Mus musculus: one gene and its partner. The protein of the gene in region 1 interacts with the protein of each later gene in a pairwise test. Links are inferred from orthologs where the notes say so. Each region holds a gene or a part of one and is shown in the gene's direction. Other genes may lie near its edges.

Evidence for each region.
Region 2: the proteins of Pld1 (region 1) and Pea15a interact in a two-hybrid assay, tested with the Homo sapiens proteins (2 studies listed by BioGRID). The link is inferred for Mus musculus from reciprocal best matches to the Homo sapiens genes PLD1 and PEA15.

The regions. Positions count from the first base shown.
Region 1 is NC_000069.6:27,937,078-27,942,145, forward strand, and holds the start of Pld1 (phospholipase D1), read left to right. Parts: upstream 1-1,602; 5' UTR 1,603-1,673; intron 1,674-5,068. UniProt on the Homo sapiens protein: Function as phospholipase selective for phosphatidylcholine. Implicated as a critical step in numerous cellular pathways, including signal transduction, membrane trafficking, and the regulation of mitosis.
Region 2 is NC_000067.6:172,196,536-172,200,920, reverse strand, and holds the end of Pea15a (astrocytic phosphoprotein PEA-15), read left to right. Parts: intron 1-339; 5' UTR 340-341; coding exon 342-513; intron 514-1,654; coding exon 1,655-1,810; intron 1,811-2,230; coding exon 2,231-2,295; 3' UTR 2,296-4,193; downstream 4,194-4,385. UniProt on the Homo sapiens protein: Blocks Ras-mediated inhibition of integrin activation and modulates the ERK MAP kinase cascade. Inhibits RPS6KA3 activities by retaining it in the cytoplasm. Inhibits both TNFRSF6- and TNFRSF1A-mediated CASP8 activity and apoptosis.

The DNA.
Region 1 (5,068 bases):
ACTTTTAAGAAATCAGGATGTAATTTGTACAGCCTGGTGCTTCTCAACCAAATGTCTCACACCATCTAAAGACAAGCTTGTAAGAGTGCGGTTACTCCTAGGCACACACTTATCAAATCATCTGAAATTAATAAACTGGAGGAAGGGAGGAAGGAGACATATGCAGCTTTTCAGTTACTTCCTTGTTATATAGTCTTGCCAAACCCCTCTTAGGCAAGACCCTGTTTGCTCAGAAGGCTGTGCATATAATTGCAAAAATCTGTCAGAATCATAGGATTCAAAAGGCATCAATTATTTCTGTCAACAAGGAAAGAGTGACGGCTGCCCGACTCTGCAATCATTAGGAAAGATGTGCTCAAAAGAGAAGAATGCAGTCAGGGAGGGCTGGGCAGCTCCAGGTTACTTGAAAACTGAGCCCCGCGCTATAATTTCACTCCTCCTCTGTCTGGACAGAAATATTATATTTTTCATTTCATGCAGTGCCATGGGCATGGTAAGACATTATGTAACTGGGTCTGTCTCACTGTATAATACTCAATAAACAATTTCAAAAGACCAACAGCATCAGCAATTTGATGTACAGGAAACTAACTGTTGCATCTTTGGGTTTTGGCTGGAAGCAGTGTTGTGCAACCAGTTTTGGAACTGACTTGTGTTCAAAATTATATTCCCAAAGGATTGCTATTCACACCACCCAGCCACTGGATTTCCCTTGATGACGACTCTCTTAAGTGTATTAAAACGGCAAAGTTACTGTGCGGACAGTTCCATCGGGGTAATGGGACTTTCTCGTTCTCCTCCCATTTTATTTTTACTTTTCTCTCTAACATTTCTGAATTAGACCCAGTACTGATGGCAAGTGGGAGTGAGAAGTGTGAGGGCGATGTGTGACTGAGACAGGAGGATCATGTAGTTTGAGTTCTACCTGTTCTTCATGGCCAACCAGGTATACAGCAGAGACCTAACTTCAAACTAACCAACCGAACACTCGCCACAACACACACACACACACACACACACACACACACACACAGAGAGAGAGAGAGAGAGAGAGAGAGAGAGAGAGAGAGAGAGAGAGAGAGAAGGGGGGTCTGGGGGGACAAGCACGGGCAGTTTTGGGGACTGAAGAGATTGCTGGCTCCAGCAAGCTTAGGGTCAGGCTGGTTCTTTACTTGCCAGCCTCAGTTTCCTTATAAACAGGCAATAACACCTACCAAGACCTACCCGTGGGATTTGCAGGAAGGCCACAGTTGACCTCTACAAAGCCCCTAATTAAGCAAGTCACTTCAGGGCAGGAATATTTCACCAGTTGGCTCGCTGTTGGCTTGTAACTTGCGGGCCAGTCTTGGACAAGGATTGGGCTCAGAGACCAGGGAAGTGAACTTGGTAAGAACAACGCCTGCGTGCGCCCCTGCGCCCCGCGGATAACTGTGGCTGAGTTAGGACACTTGGACAGAAGAAAGTGTTAGAACCGAGGCATGGAGGAAGGCCGGCGGCAGAGGCTGTCACCGAGGCTGGCCGGCGCCGCCCCGCCCCACCCTGCAGACCGGCCGAGTTCCGGGCGGCGAGTCCCAGCGCCCGCCCTTCTTCCGCGGCCCCAGCTGCGCCAGCTGCGCGGGGACCCCCGAAGTCGCCGCCGCCGCAGAGTGTGTGCCCGCGCCCCAGGCCCGCAGGTAGGAGCTGCCGGGGCCAGGCTTGCGGGACTTCTGAGCCCGCAGGACGTTCGCGGTCCTCGTGCTTCATCCCGCCTCTCTTGCCCCTCTCACCAGCCCTGTCCCTGAAGTTCCCTTGGGAACCCTGGAGTCCCTCCCATAGTCTTAATTCCTGTAGTGTCTGCGCTGGCAAGAGCCGCGCGCACACTGACCGCAGGCGAGGACCGCTACCCTGAGAGCAGAGCCGGGTCAGCTGCTGATGTCCTAGCCCCACTCCACTCTCAAGTCCCTGCAGATCCGGGGCGTCCTCTGTAGGATGCACCCCACCCCACCTCCTCGGGTCCCGGGCTCAGTAGATTTGTTCGCTCCCGCTAGATCGTCCCGCGCTCCCTGAGCTCCTTAGCACTGTGGGCTGACCGGGATGGCGACAGCACCAACATCCCGGACCAACCAGGAAGTGCTGCATTCCAGTGGCTTAGAGTCCAGCTGAAGCACAGTGCCGGGCGCCGAGCCACACAGCTGCTGCCTCGGGGCCAAAGATGTGCTGTGCTGAAGTGGAGGAGGGACAGGGGTAGCAATTAAAAGAAAGGCCTGTGTTAGGCAGTTGCTATTTTAGCTCCGACCCAAGATGTTTGGGACTGACTGTTCCGGGTCAGGGAGGGACCTTAGGAGGTCTCTAAGCCATGGGACGGTTTGTTTGAAACAGTCTTCTGTAGCTCAGGCTGCACTCAAAGGCTATGTAGCCAAGGATGACATTCCTGGCCCTCCTGCTTCCATCTCTTAAGTACAGGTCAAGACTTAGAATTTGGCCAGCCCTTTCCCCCATACCCTAGGGCTACCTGCCACGCCTACGTTTGCCTTCCTCACCCCCGCCTCCCAATCTCAGATCACTGCCAGCGGCCTTCTTTCATGAAGCTCAAAACATAATCTTAAGGACCACAGGAGCTTCTGCATTCGACCATTTCTAGATCTTTCCACAGGACGAAGAGCGCTCTTAGACAGCCAGGCCCACCAATTTCAGCTTAGCCAACTCCTTATGACCTTCCCAGGGCCTCTGGAGACTAGCTACCCAGGAAATTCAGAGAGATATTCAGAAGTCCTGACCTGTCAGAGGTGCTGTCAAGGAAGCCTGACGGGTGCAGAGAGCCTAGTTTGAACTAGTCTGTTATGCCTACTTATGCAAGAATCTCTTTCCATAGTACGTGCTTTGTGGCCCACGAGTGAGTTTGTACTCAACTGTTTAGCTTGAATTTGTAAGCAGCCTTTAAATGGTGTGTGGGGACCTTTTAAATGGTTATGTAAGCGGGTATCTGAATTTTTATGAGCCAGTACAATTAGCTTTTCAAATAAATAGTGCGAGTGGAGAAGGTTTTGAGGAGATGGTGTCCTTGCTGTGTTGTTTCTGGCATCAGCGTTTTACACACACTGGTGTTAAGTTCTCTACAGGCTCATTTAGGTTGATTGATTTACTGATAACTAGATGAGTACTGCCTAGTTAATGGACAGCCTGCTCATCAGACCTTTACCGAGAATGCATTTGTGTATGGTCTTAGTATGTAGTATGAATGCTCTTATGCAACTCTGTATGAGAAAAGCATTACACTGACAATTCACCTACCTCTAATTTCAACATGTTTTAAGGATTTATTTTATTTTTAATGATGTGAATATGCTGGCCTGGGTGTGGGTTATGTGCATATGGTGCCTAAGAAGGCCAGAAGAGGCTGTTGCTCAAACTGGGCGCTGTGAACAGGACTCAGATGCTAAGGAAAGGCAGGATGTGCTCCTAATGGCTGGGCCATCGCTTCAGTCCCATTTCTACCCTTTTTCATTTTTTTTTAATTTTAAGTTTTATTTTTATTTTATCAAAATAGACACGTAACTTTGCCATCTTTACAATTTAAAAATAGATGTTTGATCGCACAGCTCTGCCAGTGTGCTACCATCTCCCCCCAGTCCATTCCCAAAGGACTTCTCGACTTCCTTACAAGGTTTAGTAACACTTATTAATAAAGACTGCATTGCAAGCTTCAGTTTTCTCACTGAGTAAGGTTGGATTCTTTTCACAGAGCTTTAAAGAAATTTTATATAGTCTCTTGTATGACCCTGGATGGAACTCACTCTGCTGGTGGCGATTCCTATGAATTATCCATCTTTCTGCCTTTGCTTCTACCTCCCAAATGCTGGAAGTGTAGGGCTGCATTATCATCCCCAGCTCAAGAAAGACACTTTTTTTTCTATATAGCTCAGGCGAGCCTCTCTTTAACTCGCTGGGTTGCAGAAGGTGACTTATGCTTTTGAACATCCTGCCCCCACCCTGACCTAAGTGTTGGGACCCCATGCACACACCAGCATACCTGGTGTTGTGTTGTACATGTTAGGGGTGCACGTGACTAACTGAGCTACATTGTCAGCAAGAAATGCACTTTTAAAGAGCACACATAGAAGGCATAGCCAGATAGGGGGCGCCTGGTAAGTTTTACCTCCATGGGTTGAGGAAGCTTATGTGAGGGTCAGTTGGTAAGCTGATTGGGAGTTGTAGTGGAAACACTTTGCGAGTTTAGCTGTCTAGAGGTACAAACAGAGAAGGGGTTTATTCTTAGTGTTCCCCCCTCTGGATATGTAACAAACAAACAAACAAACAAACACAAACAATCTCAATGTTGTCCCCTTTAGCCGTACAATAGTACCAGGCAACACCATGAGTGAGCCCAGCTAAAGACATGTTTCCAGTACCCAATGACCTTTCTGATCAAACAAGTTTCTGGGTTTAGCAATTTCTTCTCCTCCCCAGCCATATGCTAAAGATCAATGGACCGAACACATGAGATATGGGTCTTTAAACCTGTAGTTAGATTGAGTCATTGTATACAGGAGAAAGGCTGGCATATGGGAGGCTGGGTTTTATGCTTACAATCCTTTAAGTCCCAAAAGCACAAATAGAATGTATTTGCTAGGGTGTGGTTAAAAGATGTTTCAGGGTTCAGATGAGAAGCATAGCCTCAGCTTCCTGTAAGCCTGGGACTTTTCTGATTAGAAAGGCAACTGTACAGATTGCATCATATGGTTCAGTGGGAATGTGTTCTGATGCTGTGTTTTCCCTGAACTCACAGTGCAGTATCAAATCTGGATCCCAGATGTTCTAGCGGCGGGTTATTTAACAGCAGCATATGTTATGTAACTGTTCCATAGAACCACAATCTTCTTTTCTATTGCGAAATTTTATCAGGTTTTAGATTTATTGAATAAGCATTATAATGACAAAATAAGATGATAAACTGTTTATTTAATCAGCACTTACTTGGTGTCCACTTGGCTTTGGATACCATTCAGAGCATTCTACAGATGTGAAAAACCTCCTTTATGTATATGAGGCTGTGAGAGGCATGGGAGGTCACAGCATGAGGCAGAGCTGG
Region 2 (4,385 bases), on another chromosome or scaffold:
GGAGCTGTTGCCAGGGTTACCGTTAAGGGAGGGAAAAAGAAGAAAAAGATGGTGTATTGGGGTGTGTGTGTGTGTGTGTGTGTGTGTGTGTGTGTGTGTGTGTGTGTGTGTGTGTGTTATGACTTATCACTCTCGGCTCCTAGCTTTTCTAAGTTTCTTCTGTTATGCAGGGCTTTCCTTTTCTCCCTCCAGACCTGCTCACTCTCCCGGGCAGGACAAAGTGTGGGCGTGTGGGCGCATGTTGCTGGGGGTGGGAGTTAAGTCTCAGGTAAGTACTTGAAGTAAGTGACCCTTACCCCATAGGGTAAGCTCTGCTTGCTCTCTCCCTTTCTCCTCCAGTCATGGCAGAGTACGGAACTCTCCTTCAGGACCTGACCAACAACATCACCCTTGAAGATCTGGAACAGCTCAAGTCAGCCTGCAAGGAGGACATCCCCAGTGAGAAGAGTGAGGAGATCACCACAGGCAGTGCCTGGTTTAGCTTCCTGGAGAGCCACAACAAGCTGGACAAAGGTTGTGGAGGGGGCGCTGCTCATTCAGTAAACTGCAAGGAACACAAGGGGAAACCCCATGACAAGGCGGGGGTAAAGTGATCGGCCCTCGACAGGAGTTGTCAGACAGGTTCTCCTACGGGCCTGAGCAGTACAATGTGTGGTAGAACTTAAGACCACTGTTCTAATGTTCTCTTACCTATGTCTAGAGACTGCTGCCTTTTAGGGGTGGGAGGGAGACACTGGATTAGAGCAATGCCATGCAGCTGGGGCTCGAAGGGTCAAATGGCATTTAAGATGGCCCCAAGTGCTGGCAGGATAGCAGGTAAAAGGATTTGCCATGTATGCCTAACAAGAGGGCCCAGGGCTCACCTTGGAAGGAGAGAGCCCCCCCCCCCAAGTTGCTGATAATAGACTGCCTCCAAAAGCAAATGGTATGTCTAAGGTAGAACCCAGAGAACATGTTAAGCAAAAGAACACAGTCTACGTTAGCTGGGCTAAAAAATATTGGGTCTAAGGCAGCCGAGTTAGTTACAGGTGTGTGAAACTGAAGTCACCCCAGAGTCCTTCCTATGAACGAGTCTGGCTGGGGTCTGACAGCAGGGAGGAAAGCCGAAGGACGACCTCTTACAGTTAAGACTATTGCAACAATCAGAGGACAGGAGCCAGATGAAATAATGGCAATCTTAAGCCAGCCTGATGGTGTCAATGCTTTCTGTCAGTTATGTAACTTTCCTTACTGGCTCAGAATATCTCTTTGATTGACCATAAATCTCACCTTCCTGTTCTGTGTAGTGTCTGGGATTTCTCCCCATACTCATCTGGAAGGAAAGTGGAAAGACAGGGTGGGTGTGGGTAGTTTTGAAGGCAGCCTTTCTATTGTACCATTCCCCAGGATGGACTTGGTATCTAGCCCAACGTCTGTATTTTCCATTTATACCCTAGAAGATCTAGGCTAAATACCTGTCCCGCTAAGGAGTAATGCTTTGAATTGTATTTGGCTGCCTCCAACTTTCTTTTCCTGGCTTGGTAGCCACTTCTTTCACTGCTGTCCCTTCCCATAACCAATGTCAGCAACTTAGTTGTGGTTCAAGAATACCAGTTTTGACAGGGCAGAAGTTGACCTCTATAGCCTAGCTCTGACACAAGCTGCCTTCCTCCAGACAACCTCTCCTACATTGAGCACATCTTTGAGATATCTCGCCGTCCTGACCTCCTCACTATGGTGGTTGACTACAGAACCCGTGTGCTGAAGATCTCTGAGGAGGAGGAGCTGGACACCAAGCTAACCCGTATTCCCAGTGCCAAGAAGTACAAAGGTAAGAAGCCATACCTTTGGCATAGCTCTAGGTCTCCCTTCCCTGTCTGACTATATATATATGCATGCATGTATGTGTGTGTATATATGTATATACTATATATTGTATAGTATATGTATACTACATATACTATTTATTTATTTTATTTATTTATTTTGGTTTTTTGAGACAGGGTTTCTCTGTATAGCCCTGGCTGTCCTGGAACTCACCTTGTAGACCAGGCTGGCCTCGAACTCAGAAATCTGCTTGCCTCTGCCTCCCAAGTGCTGGGATTAAAGGCGTGCGCCACCACCGCCCAGCCTGACTGTATTTTTAAGAGTAGAAAGTCATTCTGAATTTGGGGAGAGGTTGATGCTTAATGGGCCTGCCTGCCTGCCTGGCGACCTCCATCCCTGGGAACACCCCCCTTTTTTTTTTCAGACATTATCCGGCAGCCCTCTGAAGAAGAAATCATCAAATTGGCTCCCCCACCAAAGAAGGCCTGAACAAGGGGGAGGAAGAGGAGGAAGGTTGGATCTTCATCAGACCACTCCCTTCCCCATCCTCAATGGGAGGGGCTAGGGCAACCCCCTGCTCCGTACCCATTTACTAACTTGGTCCTAACCCTTACTATGCGCGTGTGTGTGCGTGTGCGCACGCTCTGGCTGTCTGTCTGTCTAGCTCATCTAGTTCCTCCTCCTCATGAGGGGATTGGAGGCAAGGGAGGGGGGGCTTAAATCCCCCCACTATAGGGGGAGGTGGACGCTTTTTCTATGTAAACAGAAATTGGCACATTCCTCCTCCTTCTCCCCTTTCCTCCACTCTTCCCCCACATCTTTATGGAAGCAGAAAGGACCTGCATTTTCCTACACTGAGGAGCTATGGTGAAGATGAGGTATGGGAGAGATGGTTGTATCTAAAGAAAACCAGTGGGGAAGGAAGGTAAAGAGGCCACTCAACCTCCACCTGGTAAGGGACAAAGAAAAGCCAGGACTCAGTGTTTGTATCTCTATGCTGGACTGGTTAGAAGCCAGCTTCCTGCTGTTCCCTTAGGCTGAGGTCCTGAGTGCCAATGGGCCCTCCTTATGCCCTTGTTATGGGCCTGGGATGCGGATGAGCCAGAAATCTTAATGAGAAGACCACTCGATCCTTTCCTGGTCCCAAAGATCAAACCCCAATGGAGAAGCCAGCATTTACTGTCCCCCAACCTTCTGCTCTGGAGAGACGATGCCGGGACCATGCACTACTGAGCCTGAGCTAGGGACGCAGGCAGAGACAGGCCCACTTTCTGCTCCTCAGTTTCTAAATACAGACTGTTGGATAAACTGACCTGGAGCCTAGGGAGATTGGGGGATGAGATCCTTAGGTTTTAACCCCAACCTGCCCACAACCTACAGAGTATTGTAGGCAACCTTTCCACTCTCCAGTTTAGAATTCTCCAAGCAAGTAGTTAATTACAGTGTTTCCTTTGCACTGACCACCACCCTGATTCAATCCAGGAAGGGACTGGTAACCTTTCTCATTTGGGTTTGTGGATGCCACACAGTCAAGTCACTAGAGTGCAGTGAGTGAACCCAGCCTCCTCCCTGTCCCAAGATGCCCTTCCCCATCTTGACCGTGCTAACTGTGTGTACATATATATTCTACATATATGTATATTAAACCCGCACTGCCATGTCTGCCCTTTTTTGTGGTTTTTAGCATTAACTTATTGTCTAGGCCAGAGCGGGAGTGGGAGGGGATGCCACAGAAAGGAAGTGGCAGAGCCAAATTGTTACAGAGTCCAAACAGAAAAGAACACATTTCAACTAACCACAACAAATGTTACATTTACATGTGAGCTAAGAGACAATTTAGAGAAAGATGAAGGTAGGTGCTTTTAGGATGTGGGAGCAAAACTTCACAGGGAGGGGAGGAATGGCTGTCAGAAGAGGGTTCTTGAAGCCAGACTGACTAGAGCACCCTCAGTTCCTAGCTGAGCCCAGATTGCCCATCTCCTCTGGCCACTGCTGCAGACACCTGCCTTAACTCTCACACCTCGAAGACTCCAGCTTTGCCTTAAAGGTCCTTCCTAAATCTCCCTAGTCTTGCCTGGCATCTCCTTTAAGACAAGAAATCCTTGTACAACTGGGTGGGAGAAAGGAACTCTGGGTAACATCCTTCCTTCTGGGGTGTTCCATGGGAGCAGGAGTGAGACGGCGCTTCCCTTATGGAAGAGGGAGGAGACAGGGTGCTTCTCAGAAGCTTCTCTGTAAGGCAAAAACCAAACTTTAAACAGACTAACCTGCCCTAATATACTCACCCCCTCGTGCTGCTGTGAGGTTGCTCCTAGCCTGTGCTCCTCTGTCTGCAGCGTGCACAGCCTTGTTCTAACCCTGGAATAAAGGTGACTGACTCTACCGTACCTGACTGATTCTAGAATCTCTGTGGGTCACTAAGTTTGGGAAGCTCTGAATGACTGGGAGGGGGTGTGTAGCCATGTTTTCCCTATCACCACTCACTGCAGTATAGAACAAGGGACTAGAAAACAACCCCAAAGAAAGTGCCCCATCTCTTAAGCACCACTGACATTAACAGACCTATTTCCCTTACAACA